Linked DNA regions of Macaca mulatta. The protein of the gene in region 3 purifies or fractionates together with the protein of the main gene of each other region. This does not show direct contact. Links are inferred from orthologs where the notes say so. Each region holds a gene or a part of one and is shown on either strand. Other genes may lie near its edges.

Evidence for each region.
Region 1: the proteins of POLR2F (region 3) and POLR3C purify together in Homo sapiens (affinity purification with mass spectrometry; 3 studies listed by BioGRID and IntAct, with this or other methods). This does not show direct contact. The link is inferred for Macaca mulatta from reciprocal best matches to the Homo sapiens genes POLR2F and POLR3C.
Region 2: the proteins of POLR2F (region 3) and POLR1E purify together in Homo sapiens (affinity purification with mass spectrometry; 4 studies listed by BioGRID and IntAct, with this or other methods). This does not show direct contact. The link is inferred for Macaca mulatta from reciprocal best matches to the Homo sapiens genes POLR2F and POLR1E.
Region 4: the proteins of POLR2F (region 3) and MED1 purify together in Homo sapiens (affinity purification with mass spectrometry; 3 studies listed by BioGRID and IntAct, with this or other methods). This does not show direct contact. The link is inferred for Macaca mulatta from reciprocal best matches to the Homo sapiens genes POLR2F and MED1.
Region 5: the proteins of POLR2F (region 3) and POLR3GL purify together in Homo sapiens (affinity purification with mass spectrometry; 3 studies listed by BioGRID and IntAct, with this or other methods). This does not show direct contact. The link is inferred for Macaca mulatta from reciprocal best matches to the Homo sapiens genes POLR2F and POLR3GL.
Region 6: the proteins of POLR2F (region 3) and POLR3D purify together in Homo sapiens (affinity purification with mass spectrometry; 5 studies listed by BioGRID and IntAct, with this or other methods). This does not show direct contact. The link is inferred for Macaca mulatta from reciprocal best matches to the Homo sapiens genes POLR2F and POLR3D.
Region 7: the proteins of POLR2F (region 3) and RPRD1B purify together in Homo sapiens (affinity purification with mass spectrometry; 4 studies listed by BioGRID and IntAct, counting the BioPlex papers as one, with this or other methods). This does not show direct contact. The link is inferred for Macaca mulatta from reciprocal best matches to the Homo sapiens genes POLR2F and RPRD1B.

The regions. Positions count from the first base shown.
Region 1 is NC_133406.1:119,464,809-119,468,308, reverse strand, and holds part of POLR3C (DNA-directed RNA polymerase III subunit RPC3), read left to right. Parts: intron 1-3,177; coding exon 3,178-3,282; intron 3,283-3,407; coding exon 3,408-3,500. UniProt on the Homo sapiens protein: DNA-dependent RNA polymerase catalyzes the transcription of DNA into RNA using the four ribonucleoside triphosphates as substrates.
Region 2 is NC_133420.1:62,108,670-62,112,169, reverse strand, and holds part of POLR1E (DNA-directed RNA polymerase I subunit RPA49), read left to right. Parts: intron 1-2,215; coding exon 2,216-2,297; intron 2,298-3,062; coding exon 3,063-3,194; intron 3,195-3,500. UniProt on the Homo sapiens protein: Component of RNA polymerase I (Pol I), a DNA-dependent RNA polymerase which synthesizes ribosomal RNA precursors using the four ribonucleoside triphosphates as substrates.
Region 3 is NC_133415.1:13,546,478-13,549,977, reverse strand, and holds part of POLR2F (DNA-directed RNA polymerases I, II, and III subunit RPABC2), read left to right. Parts: intron 1-399; coding exon 400-469; intron 470-2,977; coding exon 2,978-3,108; intron 3,109-3,500. UniProt on the Homo sapiens protein: DNA-dependent RNA polymerase catalyzes the transcription of DNA into RNA using the four ribonucleoside triphosphates as substrates.
Region 4 is NC_133421.1:63,746,349-63,749,848, reverse strand, and holds part of MED1 (mediator of RNA polymerase II transcription subunit 1), read left to right. Parts: intron 1-2,786; coding exon 2,787-3,500. UniProt on the Homo sapiens protein: Component of the Mediator complex, a coactivator involved in the regulated transcription of nearly all RNA polymerase II-dependent genes.
Region 5 is NC_133406.1:119,326,875-119,330,955, forward strand, and holds the start of POLR3GL (DNA-directed RNA polymerase III subunit RPC7-like), read right to left. Parts: upstream 2,801-4,081; 5' UTR 2,757-2,800; coding exon 2,631-2,756; intron 2,314-2,630; coding exon 2,184-2,313; intron 1-2,183. UniProt on the Homo sapiens protein: DNA-dependent RNA polymerase catalyzes the transcription of DNA into RNA using the four ribonucleoside triphosphates as substrates. Specific peripheric component of RNA polymerase III which synthesizes small RNAs, such as 5S rRNA and tRNAs.
Region 6 is NC_133413.1:23,888,820-23,893,006, reverse strand, and holds the start of POLR3D (DNA-directed RNA polymerase III subunit RPC4), read right to left. Parts: upstream 2,801-4,187; 5' UTR 2,668-2,800; intron 2,442-2,667; 5' UTR 2,437-2,441; coding exon 2,272-2,436; intron 673-2,271; coding exon 629-672; intron 44-628; coding exon 1-43. UniProt on the Homo sapiens protein: DNA-dependent RNA polymerase catalyzes the transcription of DNA into RNA using the four ribonucleoside triphosphates as substrates.
Region 7 is NC_133415.1:90,930,517-90,934,016, reverse strand, and holds part of RPRD1B (regulation of nuclear pre-mRNA domain-containing protein 1B), read right to left. Parts: intron 2,607-3,500; coding exon 2,431-2,606; intron 1-2,430. UniProt on the Homo sapiens protein: Interacts with phosphorylated C-terminal heptapeptide repeat domain (CTD) of the largest RNA polymerase II subunit POLR2A, and participates in dephosphorylation of the CTD by RPAP2. Transcriptional regulator which enhances expression of CCND1.

The DNA.
Region 1 (3,500 bases), on a different chromosome or scaffold from region 3:
TAGAAAGATTATTATAGCATAGCAGTTCCTAACCTGTACTACTCCATGGATGGATTTCAGAGAGTCTGCTTGTACTTATGTGCATTTTTCAGTGAAGCTCTCCATACCTTTCATTACATTCTTCAAAGGAACTGTGACCCAAAACAGTTTAAAAAAAAAAAAAAAAGAAATGGGAAGAATGATGCAAAACAAAATTAGAAGGAGAAAACCCAGTTATTCCTTTTATAGTGTCTGCTATGTTTTAAAGGGGAAAAAAACAAGAAAAAAGAAAAACCAGTTAGGAGGTTATTGTAGTAATCCAGATGGGACAAGATTTAGAGTCTGAAATAAGGTAATGATAGGAGAGAGAAAAGTAGACATCTGATAACTATGAAGAGTAGATAGAACTTGGTAATGTGGTAGATTATGGACAGCAAGGGACTAGGGGTGATACCCAAGTTTGTAGCTTAAGAAATTGGGTTGGCCGGCCAAGCACGGTGACTCACGTCTGTAATCCCAGCACTTTGGGAGGCCGAGGCAGGTGGATCACCTGAGGTCAGAGTTCAAGACCAGCCTGGTCAACATGGTGAAACCCCGTCTCTACTAAAAATACAAAAATTAGCCGGCCATGGTGGTAGGTGCCTGCAATCACAGCTACTTGGGAGGCTGCGGCAGGATAATGGCCTGAACCTGGAAGGCAGAGGTTGCAGTGAACCGAGATTGCACCACTGAACTCCATCCTGGGTGACAGAGCGAGACTCTATCTCCAAAAAAAAAAAAGAGAGAAAGAAAGAAATTGGGTTGTCTAGGCACAGTGGCTCTCGCCTGTAATCCCAGCATTTTGGGAGGCTGACGCAGAAGAATCACTTGAGCCCAGGAGTTTGAGACCAGCCTGGACAACATAGACCCTATCTCTACCAAAAAAAAAAAAACCCACCAGACCTGATGGCACATGCTTGTAGTCCCAGCTACTGAGGGGCTGAGGTGGGAGGATCACTTGAGCCCAGGAAGTCAAGGCTGCAGTGAGCCACAATTGTGCCATTGCACTACAGCTTGGGCAACAGAGCAAGACCCTGTCTCAAAAAAAAAAAAAACTGGGATGGTTATAGTGCAGTTACCTGAAAACTTACAAAACAGAACAGTTTGGAGAACAAGTGAAAGTGTCAAATAGGCAGCTGAGTCTATGCATCTGAAGCCTAATAGAGGGTTCTAGGATAGGCCGGGTGCGGTGGCTCATGCCTGTAATCCTAGCACTTTGGGAGGCCGAGGCGGGTGATCACCTGAGGTGAGGAATTCGAGACCAGCCTAGCCAACATGGCGAAACCCCATCTCTACTAAAAATATAAAAACTAGCCAGGCATGGTGGCACAGGCCTGTAATCCCAGCTACTCAGGAAGCTGAGGCAGGAGAATCGCTTGAACCTGGAGGGTGGAGGTTGCAGTGAGCCGAGGTTGTGCCACTTCACTCCAGCCTGGGCAAAAGAGCAAAACTCCGTCTCAAAAAAAGAGAGAGAGGGTTCTAGGATAGAGTGACATATTTGGAAATGCACCAATAGTTGAAACCTGGAGAGCAGATAAAATTACCCAAGTAGAGCATGTAGAATAAAAAGAAAGGAAAGGTATGGATAGAACCCTGGCAAAACACCAGTATTATAGGTGGGATCTGAAAGAGGAATCGGTGGAGACTGAGGAAAGGTGGCCAGAAAGGTTCAAAGTAGCACCAAGAAAAAATAGTGTCAGCCAGGCCCAGTGGCTCACACCTGTAATCCTAACACTTTGGAAGGGCAAGGCTGGCGGATCACTTGAGCCTAGGAGTTTGAGACCATCCTGAGCAACATGGTGAGACCCTGTCTCTACAAAAAATACAAAAATTACCCAAGCGTGGTGGCACACACCTGTGGTCCCAGCTACTTGGGAGGCTGAGGTGAGAGGATCACCTGAGCCCAAGGAGGTCAAGGCTGCAGTGAGCTACGATCACACCACTGCTCTCCAGCCTGGGTGACAAAGACCCTGTCTTTAAAAAGAAAAAAAAAAAAATGGTGTCATAAAATCCAAGGAGCCACATAAAGTTTTAAGAAGGAAAAAATGTCCAACCATGTCATATGCTTCCAAAAGGTTAAATAAGATCAGAAGTGGAAAGTATTATTTGAACTTAACAACATAGAGTCCTCAGGGACAATTGTGGAATTTCACTGGAATGCAAGTGACAATTGACATTTCAGTACAATGGTGGAAACGGGTTAAGTAAATCTAGATAGAGATAACAGCTGGGATGGCCAACTGTTTGAGAAGCTTGGCTGTGACAGTAAGGAAAAGAAGAGAAGGCATAGGGTTGAAGGAGAATTCTAGAGTAAAAGAGACTTGGACAGGGTAAAGGCTGATAAGAAGGCAGTAGAGAAGGAAAGGCTGAAGATGTTAGAGGACAGGGTAAAATAGAGCTGGATCGCCAAGAATGAATGAGAGAGTAAGATCTGGAATACCAATATGGGCATTAACCTTAGGTAAAAGGAACATTTTTCAGCTGTGATAAAAGTGAGTGAAAATATGAGTTAAGAACAAAAAAGAAAGAAATGTGGTGAGGATGTGCACAGAGCTGAGTAAGTTCTGGCTTAGTGGCTTCTATTTTCTCTGTGAAATCAGAGGCAAAGTCATCTGCCAAGAGTGAGAAGGAAGAAGGGTCAGGTTGGAGACTTGAGGGTAATGGAGAAGAGTTAAAATAGGGAGAGAAAGGGCGGTCATGGTGGCTCACGCCTGTAATCCCAGCACCAGCCTAGCCAACACTGTAAAACTCAAACTCTACTAAAAATAGAAAAATTAGCCTAGCTCAGTGGTGGTTGCCTGTAATCCCAGCTACTCGGTAGGCTGAGGCAGGAGAATCGCTTGAACCCGAGAGGCAGAGGTTCCAGTGAGCCGAGATCATGCCACTGCACTCCAGTCTGGGTGACAAGAGCAAAACTCCATCTCAAAAAAAAAGTAAAATAATAAAATAGGGAGAGAAAGATTGGAGATGAGCTTAGAGAACCTGTTTGAAGTTGGGATTTGTCTAGACACCAATCTACATGACTGAATGATTTTTCTCCAACCAATTTAGTTGTTACTGTGTAGGAAAAGAAATGGTGAACCATTAAATCCAAGCTCCTCACCAGAAAACTTTACATTATATCTAAATGTTTCTCTCTAAATCTTTTCTCTTCCTCAGCCCATTCCAGATGACGGGATTTATTGGCAGGCCAACCTTGACAGATTCCACCAACACTTCCGTGATCAAGCCATTGTGAGTGCAGTTGCTAACAGGATGGACCAGGTAATACCTAAGTGGGTCTGTCATTGGTCATCAGGGACATTTACTTATTTGTCATATCTGGCCATTGGCACAGAGAGCCGGGGGCAGCACTGTGATTTCTGAATTCTAGTTTACTTTTCAAACAGACGAGCAGCGAGATTGTGCGAACCATGCTCCGAATGAGTGAGATTACCACTTCCTCTAGTGCTCCCTTCACCCAGCCATTGTCTTCCAATGAG
Region 2 (3,500 bases), on a different chromosome or scaffold from region 3:
CAAACATCAGCCGTGTGTGTGTGTGTGTGTGTGTGTGTGTGTGTGTGTGGAGAGAGCGCTTATGAGTTACACATATGTATCTTGAAAGCTTGTGGCAGGTTTGTGTTGTGTCAGCTTATTTCTAACAGGAGAGCGTCAATCTGATGGTAACCCAGTGTCACCTGTAGCCAGGACGCTTTGTGGGTCACACCCTCATACCTACCCAGAGTTGGAAACCCAGGAGATGTCTGTGGTTTTAGGCACAAGGCATATTTAGTTGTTACTGTGATTGGGCATCCAATAGTCTATACTCCTATTTTTTAGTATAGTCATGTGTCACTTAATGATGGGGATATGTTCTGAGAAATGTATCCTTAGGCAATTTTGTCATTGTACAAACATCACAGAGTATATTTGCATAAACCTAGATGGTATAGCCTACTACACACCTAGGCTATATGCTATAAGCTGCTGTTCCTAGGCTGCAAACCTATACAGCATGTTACTATGCTGAATATTATAGGCAATTGTAACACAATGGCATTTGTGTATCTAAATGTATCTAAACAGAAAAGGAATAGTAAAACTATGATATTATAATCTTTTGGGACCGGCTGGGCATGTTGGCTCATGCCTATATCTCAGCACTTTGAGAGGCCAAGGTGAGAGGATCACTTCAGGGCAGGAGTTTGAGACCAGCCTGGGCAACATACCAAGACACTGTCTCTACAAAAAAATAAAAATATTAGCTGGGGTGATGCACGCCTGTACTCCCAGCTATTTGGGAGGCTGAGGCAGGAGGAGTGTTTGAGCCTAGGAGTTCAAGGTTACAGTGAGCTATGAATGCACCACTGCCTCAGTGACAGCAAGACCCTGTGTCAAACAAAATCTTACAGGACCATTGTCACATATGTGGCCTGTCATTCACCAAAAGAACGTAATGTGGGACATGACTGTATTTGCTTAGTCATGCTTTTTTTTTTTTTTGAGACAGGATCTCGCTCTGTCACCCAGGCTGGGGTGCAGACCTATGATCTTGACTCAGTACAACCTCCATCTCCTGGGTTCAAGCAGTTCTGCCTCAGCCTCCTGAGTAGCTGGGATTACAGGCGGGCGTCACCATGCCCAGCTAATTTTTGTGTTTTTAGTAGAGACGGGGTTTTTCCATGTTGGCCAGGCTGGTCTTGAACTCCTGACCTCAGGTGATCCACCCTCCTTGGGCTCCCACAGTGCTGGCTGGGATTACAGGTGTGAGCTACCGCACTCAGCTTGTATTTGCTTAGTTCTTTTTTTTTTTTAGATGGCGTCTCGCTCTGTCACCCAGGCTGGAATACAGTGGCTCGATCTTGGCTCCCTGCATCCTCCACCTCCTGGGTTCAAGGGATTCTCCTGCCTCAGCCTCCCAAGTAGCTGGGGTTATAGGTGCCCGCCACCACACCTGGCTAATTTTTGTGTTTTTAGTAGAGACAGGGTTTCACCATGTTGGTCAGGCTGGTCTTGAACTCCTAACCTCATGATCTGCCCGCCTTGGCCTCCCAAAGTGCTGGGATTACAGGCGTGAGCCACCATGCCCAGCCAGTTTTTTTTTGTTTTGTTTCGTTTTGTTTTGTTTTGAGATGGAGTCTCACTCTATCGCCCAGGCTAGAGTGCAGTGGCGCAATCTCGTCTCACTGCAACCTCTGCCTCCCAGGTTCAAGCTGTTGTTCTGCCTCAGCCTCCTGAGTAGCTGGGATTACACCATACTCAGCTAATTTTTGTATTTTTAGTGGAGGTGGGGTTTCACTGTGTTGGCCAGGCTGGTCTTGAACTCCTGACCTCAGGTGTTCTGCCTGCCTCGGTCTCCCAAAGTGTTGGGATTACAGGTGTGAGCCACTGCATCTGGTCACTTAGTTCTTATTTTCACATTCCAATTCCAGCTTTCCCTGTCTCTCCCTGAGCTTTCAGCACAATTTTTGTTTTCTAAGGTCATGTTAAATCTACGTCCTTAGGCCTCCGGCTGTGTTTTCTTGTCACTGCCCCATCACCAGCATCTCTTGTGCAGGGCAAGCTGCAGGCTGAAGCACACCAAGCATGTTTTCATTTCGATGTGGCCGTTCTGCTTTGTGGGCCCTGCTTCTCTTACCACCTGGTTCTGGTCATTACAGTGGCCCAGCTCCTGGCTTTTCTCTCAACTCATGGTGGAGGTGTGGCCTGAGGGTTTTGAGAGAAAATGATCAAACTCAACTTTGTGTTGTAGGTGCCCTGGGACCTGGAGTTCCCCACATCATCAACACCAAACTGCTGAAGCACTTTACCTGTTTGACGTACAACAATGGCAGGTCAGGGGGTGGTTTCTGGGATTTTTCCTGTGCAGGAGAAAGTGAGTGAGGGTTGGGAGTGAGCAGCAGGGGCTTGGACTCAATTCCACGTCCACAGAGATGCAGTGCTGAAGAGACTGCTGCCATTTGGAAGGCTCCTGGGGCCCCAGTAAGTTTAGCAAACGCTAAATATGACATACTCTGTCCTTTTTGGAAAAGTATTACTTTTGGGGAATCTTAGAAGCTCTGGGAAGTCCTCCAATAAAGACTTGTTTTACTTCACATACTTTTGAAGAGCCCTTCCTGATGTCCCACAGAGCTGGTGTTTGCGGAAAGGCAGTGTTGCAGAAAAGGGCAGCCCAACTCGGTGACTCAGGAAAGACCCGCAAGCGTTGCCCCGGGCTTCCTTCCTGCCATTTGCCTGGAGTATGTTTTCTGCTCTAGAGTGTGCTTGGAAGAATCAGCACAGCTGATTTCGGGATGATTGTTTTCCCAGCAGCCCTGCTGAGCAGGCGGGGACAGACTCAGCGCTAGCGGTGTCCAGGGAGAGTGTAGGCCCAGCCTTCTCTGTCTGCCTCAGAGGGAAACATGGACTGGCCCACTGCTCCACTGTGCGTGAGGCCCAGGAACCTTGGAAGGGCAAAGAAGTCACCCACATTCCTTTTCCTTTCCTGAAATTGGGAAGACATTCAGTGCATATGAGAATAGGGTTGAATGTTCTTATTTTGCTTTTGGAGAAATTGAGAGTTTAATTTTGTTTCTCCTTTATTGCCACTGATTTTCTAGATTACGGAACTTAATTTCGGATTCTATGAAGGCGAAGATTACTGCATATGTGATCATACTTGCCTTGCACATACGTGACTTCCAAATTGACCTGACAATGTTACAGGGGGACTTGAAGCTCAATGAGAAAAGGTGAGCACAACAGAATAAAGAGCTCCCTGCAGGGTGCCTTGATGTCTTATTTCTGGTACCACTGGAAAGCATGAGGCACCACCAAGGGAACTGAGGATGTTTAAATGTGGGAACAACTTGGAACTAGAGGACTATTTTCAGTGAATGAATCATTGACTGAATGAGTAACTAGACATTACTGAGTGCCTTCTCTGTGCTAGGCACGGTCTTAAATTATGTCATTATCTCACTGATTTCCCTAGAAAACAATTGAAAAATCAGGCTCAGAAAAGTACATGACTTTCTCAAGGTTACACAACCAAGAGG
Region 3 (3,500 bases):
CCAGAGCCACCACGCCTGGCCTCTGATTTTTATTTTTTATTTTTCTTATTTTATTTACTTTGAGACAGGTTCTTGTTCTGTCACCCATGCTGGAGTGCAGCAGTGCAATCTTGGCTCACTGCAATCTCCACCTCCTGGGTTCAAGCAATTCTTGTGACTCAACCTCCCGAGTAGCTGGTATTACGGGCATGTGCCACCATGCCTGGCTAATTTTTGTATTTTTAGTAGAGACGGGGTTTTGCCACGTTGGCCAGGCTGGTCTCGAATTCCTGGCCTCAAGTGATCCACACACTTCGGTCTCCCAGAGTACCAGGATTACCAGTGTGAGTCACCATACCTGGCCCCTCTTTGATTCTTGTAAGTGATGCTCTAAGTAACTGATCTCTTCTTCCTGTACAGTTTTGATGGTGACGACTTTGATGATGTGGAAGAGGATGAAGGGCTAGATGACTTGGAGAATGCTGAAGAGGTCAGTATTCAGCCTCAGGCTCCCACCTCTGCAGCCCAAGCTGCCAAATAGTCTGGCAGGTGATAATTAGCTGAACGTGTCTACCTTCTGTTTGTGGTCAAGGCCCCTGCCATAAGCATTCCCAGTTAGAGTGAGCTGTGTTCCAGTCTTGCATAGCAGAACAGCCCTGCAGGGTGGACCTGAAAGCTTTTGTCCATGTGGTCCACAGCCTGTGGCTTCTGGGGCAGTTAGTTCACTGACAAGTTAAACAGTGCCTTCCTTCATTCGGCAAACACGTGTTGAATGTTTATTATGTGCCAGGTGCTTTCTGCAGGGTGGGACTAGTTAGGGAGCAAAAGGAAGAGGTAAGCAGGGCTCAGATGAGGCAGTATTTTGTAGCCTAAAGGCAATGGGAAGCTACTGACAAATTTTGAGCCAGGGCACAGTCCAGTTTACATTTTAGAAAGTGCAATCCTGCCTTGAGTAAGGAGTGAACTGGGGAAGGGCAAGAGTGGAAGGTGAGAGGCCTGTGGCTTGGATATAGGTGCTGGTAGTGCAGGTGATGAGAAGACACATGAAAGAGTTATTGCGGTGGGTTGGTTATGGGGCTGAGAAAGTGAGCGGTGACAAGGACGACTCTCAGGTTTCTGGCTTGAGCAACTAGGTGGATAGGTTGCTAGCCTCATGAGGAAAGTAGGGCTTTCTGTCCTGTGTGACTGATGAGGGAAAAAAATGCAGTTATGTCCTGGAGAGACAGGGAGCCCTCTCTCTCTCTGCATGGCACTTTCAGATACCTTTTCGCTTGAGTCAGATGTGTCCTTCTCCATCATTCTGGTCGCCTTCCCATCACTGTCATGTAGATTGTGCCTTCTGGATGTACTTCAGCCCTGTCTGCATTTTTCTACTCCTGGTGCCTTAGGCTGGCTTAGATCTCATTGCTTTTCAGCCACATTCCTGCAGGAATTGTGTGGCTGGTTTTCCTGCTTCAGTCTCACTCCAGACTGCTCTGAGTGCTCTTCTCCTTTCAGCGCCCTTTCTTACTTGCCCACGTGCTCAGTTACTACTGGCTTTCCTAAATGGCCTCTCTGCTTCTGCCACTGCCCCCTGCAGAATATTCTCAACAGAGTATCCAGAGTGATCCTTTCTTTATGTTGTTGTTGTTTGTTTGCTTGTTTTAAATTAAGAAGTGGTGTCTTGCTACGTTGTCTAGGCTAGAGTACAATGGCTATTTGCAGGTGCGGTCATAGCGCACTACAGCCTTGAACTCTTGGGCTCAAGTGATCCTTCCAGTTCAGCCTCTCAAGTAGCTGGAACTGTAGGTTCTGCACCACCATGTCCAGCTCAGAGTCAACCTTTTTTTTTTTTTTTTTTTTTTGAGACAGAGTCTTGCTCTGTCGCCCAGGCTGGAGTGCAGTGGTGAGATCTGGGCTCACTGCAAGCTCCGCCTTCTGGGTTCACGCCATTCTCCTGCCTCAGCCTCCTGAGTAGCTGGGACTACAGGCGCCCGCCACCACGCCCGGCTAATTTTTTTTTTTTGTATTTTTAGTAGAGACGGAATTTCACCGTGTTAGTCAGGGTGGTCTCGATCTCCTGACCTTGTGATCCGCCCACCTCAGCCTCCCAAAGTGCTGGGATTACAGGCGTAAGCCACCGTGCCCGGCCTGTTTACTTAATTCTTTATATACCACAGAATTTATTCTCCTGCCTACAATCCTCTACGCACCTTTCATTCTAATTATTGTCCACAACTAGCTGTCCAAACCTCTTTCTCCTCTGTGCCTTTGCATGTTGCCTCCTTCCTCGTTGGTTTGACAGCTGCTGCTCATCCTTCTAGGTGAGCTCAAATCTCATCCCTGGAGTTTTCCTGACTCCCAGTGTGAGGTGTCCCCACCTCCTTGGGAACTCTGTTGCACACTGCATCCCTTCATAGCACCTGCTCTGTTTACTCTTGTCTCCCCCTTTAGACCATTAATTCTTTGAGAGCAGAAATTCCTAGCTTGCTTTCTCAGTATCTGTTAATGATATCTGATTCAGGACAAATACTTAGTAAGTAATTGTTAAATATTCCTGTCTTCACCTTGATTTTTCTAGTCACTTGACCCATTGGCTTAGCTCCCCTATCTGAAAGATGGGGAGACTATTCCTAGCTTCCTGCTTAGGGTAATTTTTTTGTGCCAGGACCTCTTTTACAGGACCAGTGTTCTGAGACCACCCCATCTCCAGGCCCTCTGCTCTCTTCTGGATGAGGCAGCCAGCTCTGGAATCTCAGTCATGGTCCTCCATTACAAGGTCTCAGGCTATGTCAGGTTAGCTGACTTTCCAAGCCTCTGAAATGAGAACTGTAATCCCTGTCTCATAAGGTTATTGTAAGGATTACATGAGTCGTTAGGAAGCAGTCATGCAGTACCCTGGTATGCAGTAAGCATTAATGGTGGCAGTAGCGGGGATTATGATTGTTGTCATTATCACCCTCCCTGTAATCCAAAAATGCCACCTGAGATTTTCCCTCTTTTTTGTCTTGGTGTCCAGGAAGGCCAGGAGAATGTCGAGATCCTCCCCTCTGGGGAGCGACCGCAGGCCAACCAGAAGCGAATCACCACACCATACATGACCAAGTACGAGCGAGCCCGTGTGCTGGGCACCCGAGCGCTCCAGATTGCGTGAGTGATTGCCCCTTCACTGTCTTCTCCATCTGTCAGACCACAGTGAGCTCCTGTACCGCTAATCTTGCCCAGCCTGGCACCTGAAAACACTCTCTGCTCTCACATTCCAAAGGTGGTGCCGTCCCTGCGTACCAGGCATTGTGCTAGGCCCCTGCCCTCAGGGAGCTTGTGATCTAATAGGAGAACTAGGATATGAACATCTGAGAAGTCAAGTAATAGTATGGGAGAAAAATGATTAAAAAAAAAAACAAAACAGAACTAGATGGTTGCCTGTCACATTCGTGCAGCAAAAAAGGTGAATTCAGAGCCAATGGGTACCAGTGATTCTTTTTTTTTTTTTTTTTTGAGATAGAGTCTCACTGAGTCGCCTAGACTGGAGTGCAATGGCA
Region 4 (3,500 bases), on a different chromosome or scaffold from region 3:
TAATCCAAGCTACTCAGGAGGCTGAGGCAGGAGAATTGCTTGAACCTGGGAGGCAGAGGCTATAGTGAGCTGAGATTGTGCCACTCCACCCCAGCCTGGTAGACAGAGCAAGATGCCATCTCAAATAAAAAGCCAACTTAATTGTTGCATGAAAGATAGTTAAGCCAGTATGCATCCCAGAACCATTAATAAGTAATTTTGTGAGATTTTTCTACAGCTAGGTCTGGCAGCCTATTTTTGTAAATAAATTTTATTGGAACACTGCTGTTCATTTACATGTCTGTGGCAGATTTCTAGGTAATATTGCAGAGTAGGTGAACAGGAAACGTGACGTACAAAGCCTAACATATTACTACATGACCTTATAAGAAAAATTTGTGGCCGGGTGTGGGGGCTCACCCCTGTAATTCCAGCACTTTGGGAGGCCAAGGTGGGTAAATCATGAGGTCAGGAGTTAAAAACCAGTCTGGCCAAGATGGTGAAACCCCATCTCTACTGAAAATACAAAAATTAGCTGGGCGTGGTGGCAGGCTCCTGTAATCCCAGCTACTTGGGAGGCTGAGGTAGAGAATTGCTTGAACCTGGGGGGCAGAAGTTGCTGTAAGCCAAGATCATGCCACTGCACTCCATCCTGGGCAACAGAGCGAGACTCCATCTCAAAAAAAAAACAGAAAGAAAAATTTGCTGGCTGGGTGTGGTGGCTCACGCCTATAATCCCAGCACTTTGGGAGGTGGGCGGATCACCTGAGGTCAAGAGTTCGAGACCAGCCTGACTGACATGGAGAAACCCTGTCTCTACTAAAAATACAGAATTAGCTGGGCGTGATGGTCCATGGCTGTAATCCCAGCTACTCGAGAGGCTGAGGCAGGAGAATCACTTGAACCTGGGAGGCAGAGGTTGCCGTGAGCCGAGATCGTGCCATTGCACTCTAGCCTGGGCAACAAGAGCAAAACTCCGTCTCAAAAAAAAAAAAAAGAAAAAAAATTTGCTGACATATGTTCTAGAGCAAAACATTTGCAAACTGAGGTTTATGAATATAAATTTATCTGGAAAATAAGTGCTTTGCTTTAAAATAAGATTTATAACAAATAGCACTTTTTATAACAGGTGTAGGTTTGGGATCTAAGTCAGTAAGGTTTAGAAATTGATAGGTCAAGAGATTTTTCTTTTTTTTTTTTTTTGAGACAGAGTCTCATACTGTCACCTGGGCTGGAGTTAGTGTGATCTCGGCTCACTGCAACCTCTGCTTCCTGGGTTCAAGCAATTCTCCTGCCTCAGCCTCTCAAGTAGTTGGGATTACAGGCACCCACCACCACGCCCAGCTAATTTTTTTTGTGTTTTTTTTTTTTAATTAGAGATGGGGTTTCACTATGTTGGCCAGGCTGGTCTCAAACTCCCCACCTTGTGATCTGCCTGCTGCGGCCTCCCAAAGTGCTGGGATTACAGGCGTGAGCCACTCTGACCAGCCAAGATTTTTCTAATGGTTCCTTAATTAAAATAAATTATGTATCCTTGTAATTGCCATATGAAGCCCCCAAGGAAGACATTTTCTTTGAGATGGAGTCTTGCCCTGTCACCCAGGCTGGAGTGCAATGGGACGATCTTGGCTCACTACGACCTCTGCCTCCTGGGTTTCAGTGATTCTCCTGTCTCCCTTTACTGAGTAGCTGGGATTACAGCCGTACACCGCCACGGCTGGCTAATTTTTTGTATTTTTAGTAGAGACACGGTTTCACCATGTTGGCCAGGCTGGTCTCAAACTCCTGACTCCCAAGTGATCCACCCGCCTCGACCTCCCAAAGTGCTGGGATTACAGGAGTGAGCCATCACGCCTGACCTAAGGAGGCTTTTTTTTTTTTTTTTTTTTTTTTTGTTGAGACAGAGTCTTGCTCTGTCACCAAGCTGGAGTGCAGTGGCATGATCTTGGCTCAATGCAACCTCCGCCTCCCTAGTTCAAGCAATTCTCCTGCCTCAGCCTCCCAAGTAGCTGAGATTACAGGCCACGTGCCACCACACCCAGCTAATTTTTGTATTTTTAGTAGAGATGGGGTTTCATTGGCCGGGCGCGGTGGCTCAAGCCTGTAATCCCAGCACTTTGGGAGGCCGAGACGGGCGGATCACGAGGTCAGGAGATCGAGACCATCCTGGCTAACACGGTGAAACCCCGTCTCTACTAAAAATACAGAAAACTAGCCGGGCGAGGTGGCGGGCGCCTGTAGTCCCAGCTACTCCGGAGGCTGAGGCAGGAGAATGGCGTAAACCCGGGAGGCGGAGCTTGCAGTGAGCTGAGATCCGGCCACTGCACTCCAGCCCGGGCTACAGAGCAAGACTCCGTCTCAAAAAAAAAAAAAAAAAAAAAAAAAAGAGATGGGGTTTCACCATGTTGGCCAGGATGGTGTCGATCTCCTGACCTCATGTTCCAGCTGCCTCAGCCTGCCAAAGTGCTGGAATACAGGCGTGAGCCATTGCGACTGGCCCCTAAGGAGGCATTTTCTGAGTTCCATTATTACCAATCTTTTAGTTCAGTTTGAAATTCAATTATTTGGACTCTTGTTTATAGTTTGCTTTTGTTGTGTGATTCATAAGAGACTGACAATTTTATGTTGGGTTAGATTTTTATAATGTATTTACCCAAAGCTCTGGTATTTGATAGAACTATTTTTGCCTTATACGATTTGCCCTACCTGGAAACTGCTTACTGCAGAACTCTGATGGTTTATCTAAATCTCAGGTCTCATTCAGCAGCTATTGAAATATTAACTTTGTTTTCTTCCTTATCTTGCAGATGTATGTCCATCCCTGTGACGATGAGGGCTATTCGGAGGAAAGCTGAAACCATTCAGGCCGACACCCCAGCACTGTCCCTCATTGCAGAGACAGTTGAAGACATGGTGAAAAAGAACCTGCCCCCGGCTAGCAGCCCAGGGTATGGCATGACCACAGGCAACAACCCAATGAGTGGTACCACTACACCAACCAACACCTTTCCGGGGGGTCCCATTACCACCTTGTTTAATATGAGCATGAGCATCAAAGATCGGCATGAGTCGGTGGGCCATGGGGAGGACTTCAGCAAGGTGTCTCAGAACCCAATTCTTACCAGTTTGTTGCAAATCACAGGGAACGGGGGGTCTACCATTGGCTCGAGTCCGACCCCTCCTCATCACACGCCGCCACCTGTCTCTTCGATGGCCGGCAACACCAAGAACCACCCGATGCTCATGAACCTTCTTAAAGATAATCCTGCCCAGGATTTCTCAACCCTTTATGGAAGCAGCCCTTTAGAAAGGCAGAACTCCTCTTCCGGCTCACCCCGGATGGAAATATGCTCGGGGAGCAACAAGACCAAGAAAAAGAAGTCATCAAGATTACCACCCGAGAAACCAAAGCACCAGACTGAAGATGACTTTCAGAGGGAGCTATTTTCAATGGATGTTGACTCACAGAACCCTATCTTTGATGTCAACATGACAGCTGACACACTGGATACACCACACAT
Region 5 (4,081 bases), on a different chromosome or scaffold from region 3:
TTTTTTTTTTCTTTTTTTTTTTTTTTGAGACAGAGTCCTGCTCTGTCGCTCAGGCTGGAGTGCAGTGGTGCAATCTCAGCTTACTGCAACCTCCACCTCCCAGGTTCAAGTGATTCTCCTGCTTCAGCCTCCTGAGTAGCTGGGACTACAGGCGCACATCACCACGCCCAGCTAATTTTTGTATTTTTAGTAGAGACAGGGTTTCACCATGTTGGCCAGGATGGTCTCAATCTCCTGACCTCGTGATCCACCCAACTCGCCCTCCCAAAGTGCTGGGATTACAGGCGTGAGCCACGGCGCCCGGCCCCTTATCACTCTTCTAACCTGTTTCTTTTCCACCTAAAATTATGATTTTTTTTTTTTTTTTTTCAGATGGAGTCTCACACTGTCGCCCAGGGTTGGAGTGCGGTGGCGCAATCTCGGTCCACTTCAACCTCCACTTCCCAGATTCAAGCAATTCTCCTTGCCTCAGCTTCCCAAGTAGCTGGGATTACAGGCACCTGCCACCAGGCCTGGCTAATTTTTTGTATTTTTTTTTTTTGTACAGACAGGATTTCACTATGTTGGCCAAGATGGTCTCGAACTCCTGACCTCGTGAGCTGCCCACCTCAGCCTCCCAAAGTGCTGGGATTATAGGTGTGAGCCACCACACCTGGCCAGTGTTTTTTTGTTTTGTTTTGTTTTTGTTTTTGTTTTTTTTTGAGGCAGAGCCTTGTTGTGTCATCCAGGCTAGAGTACAGTGGCGAGATCTCAGCTCACTGCAACCTCCACCTCCCAGGTTCAAGCAATTCTCGTGCCTCAGCCTCCTGAGTAGCTGAGACCACAGGCTCACACCACTGTGCCTGGCTAATTTTTATATTTTTAGTAGAGACAGGGTTTCTCCATACTGGTTAGGCTGGCCTCAAACTCCTGGCCTCAAGTGATCCACCCATGTCAGCCTTCCAAAGTGCTGGCCATTACAGGCGTGAGCCACCGCACCCGGCCATGATGACTTTTTTTTTTTTTTTCTGTCCCTTAGTTCAAAGGCATGGCTGTATTAAGAAATAGTGTGATGCAGTGGAAAGTATGCTAGGGAATAAGAAACCAGGATTTCGGCCGGGCGCGGTGGCTCAAGCCTGTAATCCCAGCACTTTGGGAGGCCGAGGCTGGTGGATCACGAGGTCAGGAGATCGAGACTATCCTGGCTAACACGGTGAAACCCCGTCTCTACTAAAAATACAAAAAAATTAGCCGGGCGTGGTAGCGGGCGCCTGTAGTCCCAGCTACTTGGGAGGCTGAGTCGGGAGAATGGCGTGAACCCAGGGGGCGGAGCTTGCAGTGAGCCGAGATCGCGCCACTGCACTCCAGCCTGGGAGACACAGCGAGACTCCGTCTCAAAAAAAAAAAAAAAAAAGAAAAAAAAGAAACCAGGATTTCAGTATTCTGTTTTTTTGTTTGTTTGTTTGTTTTTTGTTTTTTGAGACGGAGTCTCGCTCTGTCGCCCAGGCTGGAGTGCAGTGGCGCGATCTCGGCTCACTGCAAGCTCCGCCTCCTGGGTTTACGCCATTCTCCTGCCTCAGCCTCCTGAGTAGCTGGGACTACAGGCGCCCGCCACCGCGCCCGGCTAATTTTTTGTATTTTTAGTAGAGACGGGGTTTCACCGTGGTCTCGATCTCCTGACCTTGTGATCCGCCCGCCTCGGCCTCCCAAAGTGCTGGGATTACAGGCGTGAGCCACCGCGCCCGGCCGATTTCAGTATTCTGTTGTTGGTTGGTGCTTTTAATATCCAGATTGTTAAAATTTTTGCTGGGCACGGTGGCTCATGCCTGTAATCCCAGCACTTTGGGAGGCCAAGGCGGAAGAATCTCTTGAGCCCAGAAGTTCAAGACCAGCCTGGGCAACATAAGAACACCCCATCTCTATTTTACAAAAAAATAAAAAATATATAAATTTTTAGAAAATACATCCCCCCACCTACACACAAGAAATGGGATTTTAATATTTAACCTCCCGCTGTCCCAAAACTATCATGAGACTCAAAACAAACCATGAATACTATAATGCATTTCAGATGCAGGAGTAACTATTATGATCTCCCCAGTTAGACAGTATGCTTCCTGTGCCTCTCCAGCCCCCAGTGGTGCTGAGCACAGGGCACTCCCCACGGAAGGCACTCAGAATATGATGCTAGCATTCCAACTGACCTCTCTTGGGGACAGCTGGCCGGATGAAGTAGGGGAGCTGCCTCATGGCTCCTCGTAGCTCCTGCTTCAGTGCCAGGACATATTCCCCTTCCTCTCCTGAAGGCAAAGGTACTGGGCGGAACTCCAAAGGCTAAAGAGGCAGGGGCAGTGGTCTGTTCAGGGAGAAAATGCTAGTACAAATTTAGGAAGACCCCTCCTCCCAATTTAATCTAATATTCCCCTGAGCAGAGGGCTGAAAGAGAATGGGGAGAGTAACATATCATTTTGAAAGCTGGGGAGAAATAAAGGTGGACACTTCTTTGACTGCAAAACATCCCTTGTGCATTGGGAGTATAGAGACAGAGAGGGCCAGTGAGGATGGTTTTATGATGGTCCAGGAGGAATTCAGAATCATGTACAGTCAGCCAGGGGCACATGAGAGTCTGGGAAGGAAGTGGAGAGACTCACAGGGAAGAGTGGAGAAGGCTGCAGGGTGGGTGGGGGCAAAGTATCCCCTTTCCCAATGCCCACGGCCTCCATGTTGAAGGTCAACTGGCCCCGGCCACGACCCCGGCCCCCACCCCGGCTGGCCATGGTGGAGGGGGCCTGGGTGTTCAGAGATCCAGTGAAAAAACCTGATAAAGACAAAAACAAAGAGAAAAAGAAATGTAGTAGAATGGACAGGAAGCCAAGGAGGTACAAGACATTCAATCTTTTATCGCTGGGACATAAAAAGTCAATGTCATTCAACAAATTTTGACTGAGAAGGCACAGTGTCAGAGAGAGAATTTCTGGAAACATAAACATGAATGAGACATGGTCCCCCAAACAGGTCAGATAATTACAATATAGTTTAGCACAAAGGAGAAAGTGCTTAGACCCTCGGACAAAACTCTACATCCCTAAGACAATTTGATGTTTATTCCTATCTGCATTTATTTATTTTTATTTTTAGAGATACTCTGTCACCCAGGCTTGAGTGCAATGGTGCAATCACAGCTCACTCTAGCCTCGAACCCCTGGGCTCAAGTGATCCTCCTGCCTCAGCCTCCCAAAGTGCTGGGATTACAGGCATGAGCCACTATGCCCAGTCACTAACTGCATTTATATGTATAACCTTTGAATTCTTTCTATCTCTGGCCTTCCAAACCTGACCAGGCCCCAATTCAATCCAAAGAAATGCATTCAGCGAAACATTTATTAATCATCTACCATGAAAAAGATAGTGTCAGACACTGTGGGAGCACAGGGATGAGTCATCAATTTCATTGTCAACCAGGGGAAAAGAGACATTACAATCAAATTTTATTTTATTTTATTTTATATTTTATTTTAGACAAGGTCTCTTTATGTCACCCAGGCTGGAGTGCAGTGGTGTGATCATGGCTCACTGTAGCCTCAACCTCCTGGGCTCAGGTGATCCTCCTGCCTTAGCCTCCCAAGTAGCTGGAGCTACAGGTGTGTGCCACCATACCTGGCTCTTTGTTTTGTTTTTTTGTTTGTTTATTTGTTTGTTTTTAAGAGATGGAATTTCATTATGTCAAGTGATCCAAATGTCTCGGCCTCCCAAATTGCTGGGATTACAGGCATGAGCCACCACGAGAGGCCAGATTGATCTTTTTAAACACCACTTGGAAGCACAGAATCTTAGAATTCGGAGGACCCTTAGAGGTCATCTAGTCTAAATCCCTCCCAGTGCAGGACTTCACTCTGTAAATTGTTTTGTTGTTGTTTGGTGTATGTGTGTCTTTTTTTTTTTTTTTTTTTTTTTGAGACAGAGTCTCACTCTGTTGCCCCGGCTGGAATGCAGTGGTGCAATCTTGGCTCGCTGTAACCTACACCTTCAAGGTTCAAGTGATCCTCCTGCCTCAGCCTCCTGAGTAGCTGGAACTACAGGCATGTGCCACCAAGCCTGGCTA
Region 6 (4,187 bases), on a different chromosome or scaffold from region 3:
CCTTTCACGCTTCTCCTTCTTGACAGTTACTTCTTCCTTGGGCCTGGAAAAAAGAATGGATTAAGGGAAACCACTCACTCACTGTGTCTCCAAAAACTGGCCTTACTCTCCCATACCACTTCACTCCAAGACAGCGGAGAGTTTGAGCCAATAATTACACCATGAGAAGCAGAATCCAATCCTAATTCTAGCACTTTTCTCACTTCCTTGATGAGGCAGGATTTTTTCAGTTTGCTTTACTTTACGTTCTTGTCCAAAAATGTAGATTTTTGTTTGCATTGGGACTGAAAGCAGGAAGGCAGAAATGCAAAGGAACTTCAGGGAAAGCGTGATACATCTTTGTTTAAACTATTGGCTCTCAACTCGGGCCATCAAAGAGAATCACTCCATTCTACTGCCAACAAGTTAAATCACAATTTCTAGAGATGGAACCCTAGACACCAGTATTTTTTTTTTTTAAAGCTTAAACATTAGAATCACCTAGGAGCCAGGGTTGAAAATCACTAGTGAAAAGAACTAAAGATATAAATTTAAATTTTGGAGCCACAAACCTACTTATTTCTCCCCAAAGCCCCAAATTCAGAGCAAGTAAATAAGGGGCAAGTATTCAGAAGGACTAGCTACTTACTCTTCCTTGATCTTCCGACTGATGATATTTGGGGTGAAGGTTTTCTGAAAGCAAAATACAGGAGTCACTGATGTGTTAGGTCCTGACCCCAAAGTACAGAGGAAAATAAAAACTCCCAACGGGCATCTTCTACAGACCACGGCCACCATGACTCTCTTTGGCACATTCCACAGTGCTGTCAGTTTTCTAGATACACGTGTGCCTGAAAAGGAGGAACGTCATGGTGTGGCGGCAGTGGAGTTATGCATAGAAGAAAGGGGCACCAAAAACCATTTTTAACCAGCAGCCTTAGGAAAGAAGATCCTGAAAGAAGGTCCTCTGGGACTTCTAAAAGCAAAGGAATTTCTCTGGTCTCACCTCTTATCTTCAAACTGCTATAGAGACCAGTCAGTATCATGGGGGAACATCTCTAGCAGCAAGGCCTAAGTAGGGAAGGCCACAGATCTGCCAATACTCTCAATCACTGTTGGCAGTGTTTTTCCATATTTTCCAAGGCAAAGTTAGGTTTCTAAAGACTGCTTTATGTCCAGGCGTGGTGGCTCACGCCTGTAATCGCAGCACTTTGGGAGGCCAAGGCAGGTGGATCATGAGGTCAGGAGTTCAAGATCAGCCTGGCCAAGATGGTGAAACCCCGTCTCTACTAAAAACTACAAAAATTAGCCAGGTGCGGTGGCAGGCCTCTGTAATCCCAGCTACTCGGGAGGCTGAGGGAGGAGAATCGCTTGAACCCCAGGAGGTGGAGGTTGCAGTGAGCTGAGATGGTGCCTCTGTGCTACAGCCTGGGCGACAGAAAGAGACTCTGTTAAAAACAAAACAAACAAACAAAAAAAACTGCTTTATTTGGCCGGGAGCGGTGGCTCACGCCTGTAATCCCAGCACTTTGGGAGGCCGAGGTGGGTGGATCACAAGGTCAGGGGTTCAAGAACAGCCTGGCCAACATGGTGAAACCTTGTGTCTACTAAAAATACAAAAATCAGCTGGACATGGTGGCGGGCACCTGTAATCCCAGCTACTCAGGAGGCTGAGGCAGGAGAATCACTCAAACCCGGGAGGCAGAGGTTGCAGTGAGCCAAGATCATGCCATTACACTCCAGTTTGGGGGACTAGGGCGAGACTTCGTCTCAAAAAAAAAACCCAAAAACCTGCTTTATTCTTCTGTCATCCTGACCCCACCCCTTTCTGGGCTACTCTTGACATCCACAGTCATATACACATGGGACAGCCCACAGAGCCTCGAATGCCATGCCTAGGATTCATGATACTCTAGATAACAAGTTTGCACACTGAGATGGTGAATTCTGAACGCTCTAAGACTGTGAAGTTTATGCCTGCCTGGCTTTCATGGGTTTCTTAAAGATGTCCAAACACACAATAAGAGTAAATAAACACTGTTCAAATTACTTTTGAACGACTTTAACTTATTAGGATTCTCTGTCTTTCAACCACCTCTGGGACTCATTTCAACATTTTGTACTCAGTACCTAGATTTGAAGATAGGACAGGCTCCCTAGAATTTAAAGAGGGGTAGGCTTGAGGCCCAACGACACTCCTGACACATAGTAGGCCCTACACAAACATCAGTTGAATGCCGGGGCTTGGAATTCAAGGTAGTTGAGTTTCTTTAGAAACGCGCCGTTGGATACCTTCTTGACTCCCCCGAGGGTGAGGTCCCTGGAACGGATGGAGGGAAGGCGGCCGGGGGTGAGGGGAGGCGCCGGCCGCCGCCCGATGAGCCCCCGGGCCCCAGTCAGAAGGGGTCGGGGCCCTCCCGGAGTGCTGGGCTCGCCGGCGGCGTTTCCTTCCGACATGTTGCCTGGGAGAGAAGGGGGGACGAGATTACCAGAGTGGACTGACACGCGGACCCTGGCGGAACCCAACCCCCTTGCTTTCCGGTCCCCCAGTCGGTGCGTCCCTCCAGTGGCCTCTCAGCTCCTCCCCTCCCACGTGGCGAGATTCCCGGGACCACCCAGGTGAGAGCCTTTGGCTCGCGACACGCCCTCTCTCCAGGAACCCCGCCCAGGAACCAGGCAGGGACGCACCCGGGCCGCGGCTCCACACCGCGCGTCACCACTTCACCTGCGACGCGACCCGCTGCCAGCTTTAGGTCTCCGCACCGGGCGGAAGTCTGCGTGGCACCGCCTGGGCGCTGCCATCTTGGCACGGGCCGGATGTGACGTTTCGGGGGCGGGACTGGGCCACAGTATTTATCAGGCGGCGCTTCGCTCCCCTCCGCCTTCTCTTCCCGGTTCTTCCCGGAGTCGGGAAAAGCTGGGTTGAGAGGGCGAAAAAGGATGAGGGAACCGGTCTGGGCTACGCTATGTGGCGGTGCTCGGGGGTCTTGGCCCCCGGGCGGTGGCGTGGAGGTGCCGAGATCAGGGTCGCGGGTCTTGTCGGCCGCCAAGCCGCAATGTGAGGCTTCGCCTCGGCGGAGCCCCTGGGAGCTTGGGGGTAGCTGCTCGGGATGGGACGAGGGGCGCGGCACAGAGAGCGAGACCTGGACTTAGAGTCGGGGAGTCTTGGGCCGTGCGGAGCCCTGTCTGCGGGTTCTCCATGGTGACCTTGGAGTGGTCACTACCTCCGGGCAGCGACCTCGCCCACTCTCGGGGACCCCTTCCCTGTGCTCCTGGTGGAGTCCTGGGGTGAGGCTGTGAGGGCAGCGTTGGAACAGCCGCAGTGGACCAACTGGTGCCCAGTCACACCCGCTTGGGATCACGAAGGCGGTGGCCCTCGGGTGCGCTCTTGGTCAAAGCCTGGACAGAATCGGAATACCAAGTTTGCTCTACTGCTGGAGGAATTTAAAGAACTTTTATTGACTCCAGCGTTTGTGATATAAAAAGTGTCGTTTAATGTTATCTCCCATCCCCCCAGACTGTATAAAAACATTATTACGGGGAGTTTGAGGAAAGGAAATCGTTTCTACCAGAATGCCACGTAGAGTACTACTATTAAAAATTTTGTAATGTGTCTAGTAGTCTTCACAGAGTTGTATCACAATTTCGTATCCTTTTTCTTTTCTTTTTTTGAGGCGAGGTTTCTGCATACTGCAACCTCTGCCTCCCAGCCTCAAGCCATGCTCCCACCTCAGCCTCCCAAGTAGCTGGGACTCTAAATACATGCCACCACGCCCGGCTAATTTTTTTTTTCTTTTTTCTTTTTCTTTTTCTTTTTTTTCTTTTTTTTTTTTTTTTTTTTGTATTTTTGGTAGAGACGGGATTTCACTGTGTTGCTCACACTGGTCTTGAACTCCTGAGCTCGAGTGATGCCACCCGCCTCGGCCTCCCAATGTGCTGGGGTTACAGGCGTCAGCCACTGCGCCTGGCCTGTATCCTGCTTTTTCAAATAACATTTCTCTGTTACGGCATCAAAGACTGCATAGTTCTCCAGTGGCTGTATCATGATTTAAGTATTTCCCTGATTGTTTCTTTTTTCCCTGTTTTAAATAATGCTGTAGTGAATATCTGGTACATTCGACGTGCTTTTTTTCAATTTTGTTTTGGTTTTTGTTTTCTTTCGGATTATATTCCTGGGATAGATTTCCCGTCCTGGGATAACTGGCCAA
Region 7 (3,500 bases), about 77 Mb from region 3:
GATCACTTGAGGTCAGGAGTTCGAGACCAGCCTGGCCAATATGGTGAATCCCTGTCTCTGCTAAAAATAAAAAAAAATAAAAAAAATTAGCCGGGCGTAGTAGTACATGCCTACAATCCCAGCTACCCAGGAGGCTGAGACGGGGGATTGGTTGAGACTGGGAGGTGGAGGTTGCAGTGAGCTGAGATCACGTCACTGCACTCCAACCTGAGTGACAGAGTGAGACTCCATCTCAGAAAAAAACCTTATATTGTATCTAGTCATTTGCTTTCTTTAATGCAGCAAATCGGCTCTATTTTTACAATAAATGGTTCTGCTCATATGCCTGGGAGACATGGTTTGAGATAAGAACCTTCAGTTCAGACTCTGTACTTTGGTTCCAGTGGTGGGGCCTTCCTGTTCCGCTTCTTCAGCAACGGAATGCCAACACCATTCCACTGAATGAACCAGGCAGAGCAATGTAGACTAGAAAGTTACAGGACGCATCCAAAGCTCTAATCTGTTTCTCCACCTTAATGCCCTCTCATGGTGTCCAGCAAACCACTAGTTCTACAAAAACCAGAATGATTCCCCAACAATACACAGAGGAAAGTGCAACTATGGGGAGGGAAAACAGAACAAAGAGTTAACCAGCTCTACCAACCCGATCTCCTCAAAGACTCTGCCCTCTATGGTTGCTTGCCACGTTCCACCCAACAACAGCTGCTCATGATAATCAATGTCTGACAGATCAGAGAAAGCCCTTAATGTGTCGCCAAGGGGCAGTTCAACAGATGGCATGGTGACTTACAACCAGAATCATTAATTACACTCTCTTATTAGTCCCGGGGCACAGTGCTGAAAATGCTTCCTCAGTGAAAGATGAGCATTTCAGATAAATGACCGTCTGGTACTGCCTGTGAAACTCCCTTTAGGATCTCTGGTCAGTGCCGATGTCTAAATCTAAGCCGTAGGATGTTGACAGCCCTTTCGCACCTTCCACATTCAAGCAGGCTACGAATGTGAAGTTCCTGCTACCACTATGCAACACGGTTCCCAGAATCACTGCAGGTAAGGATACGGTAAAAAGTGCCTGCCACTCATTTCCCCTCAAGTCAGATGACCGTGCTGAAAGGCAAATACAATGATCTCAGCCTCAGAGCTAGCTCAATGTTCCCTCCTTCTGTGCCAGAGCATGTTTCCTGAGCATGGAGGTGACATGGCTCTCCTTGTCCCTTGTCTACTCTGAGAGGGATTTAAGAAGTATTTCTTGAAATACAACATGACCGGCTCTCTAACTCAGAAGTGTCCTCCTTTACAAAACCACTGGCTGCAACTCTTTTCCATATCTCTTGAAAAAAGAAGAGCAGACATTCCTGAAAAGGAAGTGCAGCAGCCCGGGGCAGCAAAAGTTCCCAAACATTCACACTGCTGGCTGTGTTATCCCATGGGACCAAGCACTGAGGGTAAACCACCATGCACTTAACTACGAAACCAAACAAGTGTATGGGGAGGAAATGTTTCTGAACTCCCTCCCCAAGGTCACTCGGACTAATGTCCTCAACCCAGGGTAGAAATGAGTTCTTCCTCTACAGTTTGAGAACTGTGCTTTATAAATACTACTGTGAAATTTAAGAGCTGACTACAGATAGATCTTGGAGGCAGACAACTTCTCAGCCACAGCATGGATACAAGTCAGAAATAAACCTCCAAATGGCCAGGCGCGGTGGCTCATGCCTGTAATCCCAGCATTCTGGGCTGAGACGGGCGGATCACGAGGTCAGGAGATCGAGACCATCCTGGCTAACATGGTGAAATCCCGTCTCTACTAAAAATACAAAAAATTATCCGGGCGTGGTGGTGGATGCCTGTAGTCCCAGCTACTCAGGAGGCTGAGGCAAGAGAATGGCATGAACCCGGGAGGTGGAGGTGGCAGTGAGCCAAGATCGTACCACTGCACTCCAGCCTGGGCGACAGCGAGACTCCATCTCAAAAAAAAAAAAAAAAAAAAAAAACCACACACACACAAAAAACAAAACAAAAACAAAAAAAACCTTCCAAATGCCTTAAAAGAAACGTTTTTCAGCACTTCCCAACTACCACCAAACATACTCTTTGGTTTTCACTGATTTGCTATTGTTTTTATACCTCAATTTATAATTTTTTTAAACATGAGTTCAAACGAAAGCAGTATTAAGATCCTAAGGTTGTGATTAAGAGTTCACTGTTTGTTTCCTACAATCCAGTTTGTTCTGTCCTGGACATATAAGAACATGACTTCAATTTTTAACTGTGCTCAAATAACTACAGTATCTGATGGATATTCAGAATTCACATCATGAATTTTTAAATGATAAAAATGTTGTTAATTAAAGCATAATAAAAACCTCCTAATGTGGGCTACAGGAAGGGAAACGTGGACAGTCTGGGTCTGCCTTTTAATGGACTCACCTCTAGCTTTTTCTCCTTCTCGGACAAAACATCTTTCTGATTCTGGGTATACTCCACCAACATCCGAGCCAGCTGGCGACGGTCCTCCAGCTCTGCCGCCAGGCGCCCGTTATATTCTGCTAGTAACAGACATGCTTCATCTACTGTTTTTGAAAGACGTTCAGCTGCCTCTTTGTCTAAGTACAAATGAGATCAAAAAATAGAGAAAATATACAAATCACATAGGTATGATTAGAAACATTTCTGGGGGAGGTTAACAGTTTCTCTCCCAATATACAGAGTCTAAGAATAAGCCAGAACCTGTGGACAAACAATGAGTTGATTGATCAAGAAATCCAAAGGTATTCACCCTGTCAGCAAGACAGGACACTACTCAATTACCCGAGGTAAGGAAGTGGTACAAGGGAGGAATCTGGCAAAGGCTTTCTAAATGCCTGTTCCTGCAAAAGCTCTCCAGACAAAACAAGCAGAAAGAGATATTGAAGATCATCCGTGAAAAAATCGTTCCTTGCCTCTGAGAATTTCAAGTGCTTTCATTTATATTACAGTTGGCCCCCTATATCTGTGGGTTCTGTATCTGTGGATTAACCAACCATAAATGGAAAATACTCAGACCAAAGAACCCCACAAACCAATAAAAATAACGATTAAAAACCCACAATTTAAAAAATACAGAATAACAACTATTAACACAGCATTTACATTGCATTAGCTATGATAAGTAATCTAGAGAGTATTTAAAGTATATGGGAAGATGTTCGTTGGTTATAGACAAATCCGACACCATTTTATTTAAGGGCCGTGAGCAACCTTGGATTTTGGTATTCTCAGAAGGTCTTGGAACCAAACCCCCATGGATATGGAGGGACAACCGTATTTCATTAAGTAGTCTTTTTACTTTCCATTGGAATAAAAAATAGCGTGCACTTTATCTCTTGGGTGTGGGAACTAAGACCTCCTCCCCGCCAAAAAAACCCTACATGACAGGTTTCAATATGCAGTCAGCTAAGATGCTGGGACTCGAAGCCAGATCTCTAAAATGATCTATAGTACTCTATCTCTTAAACTAT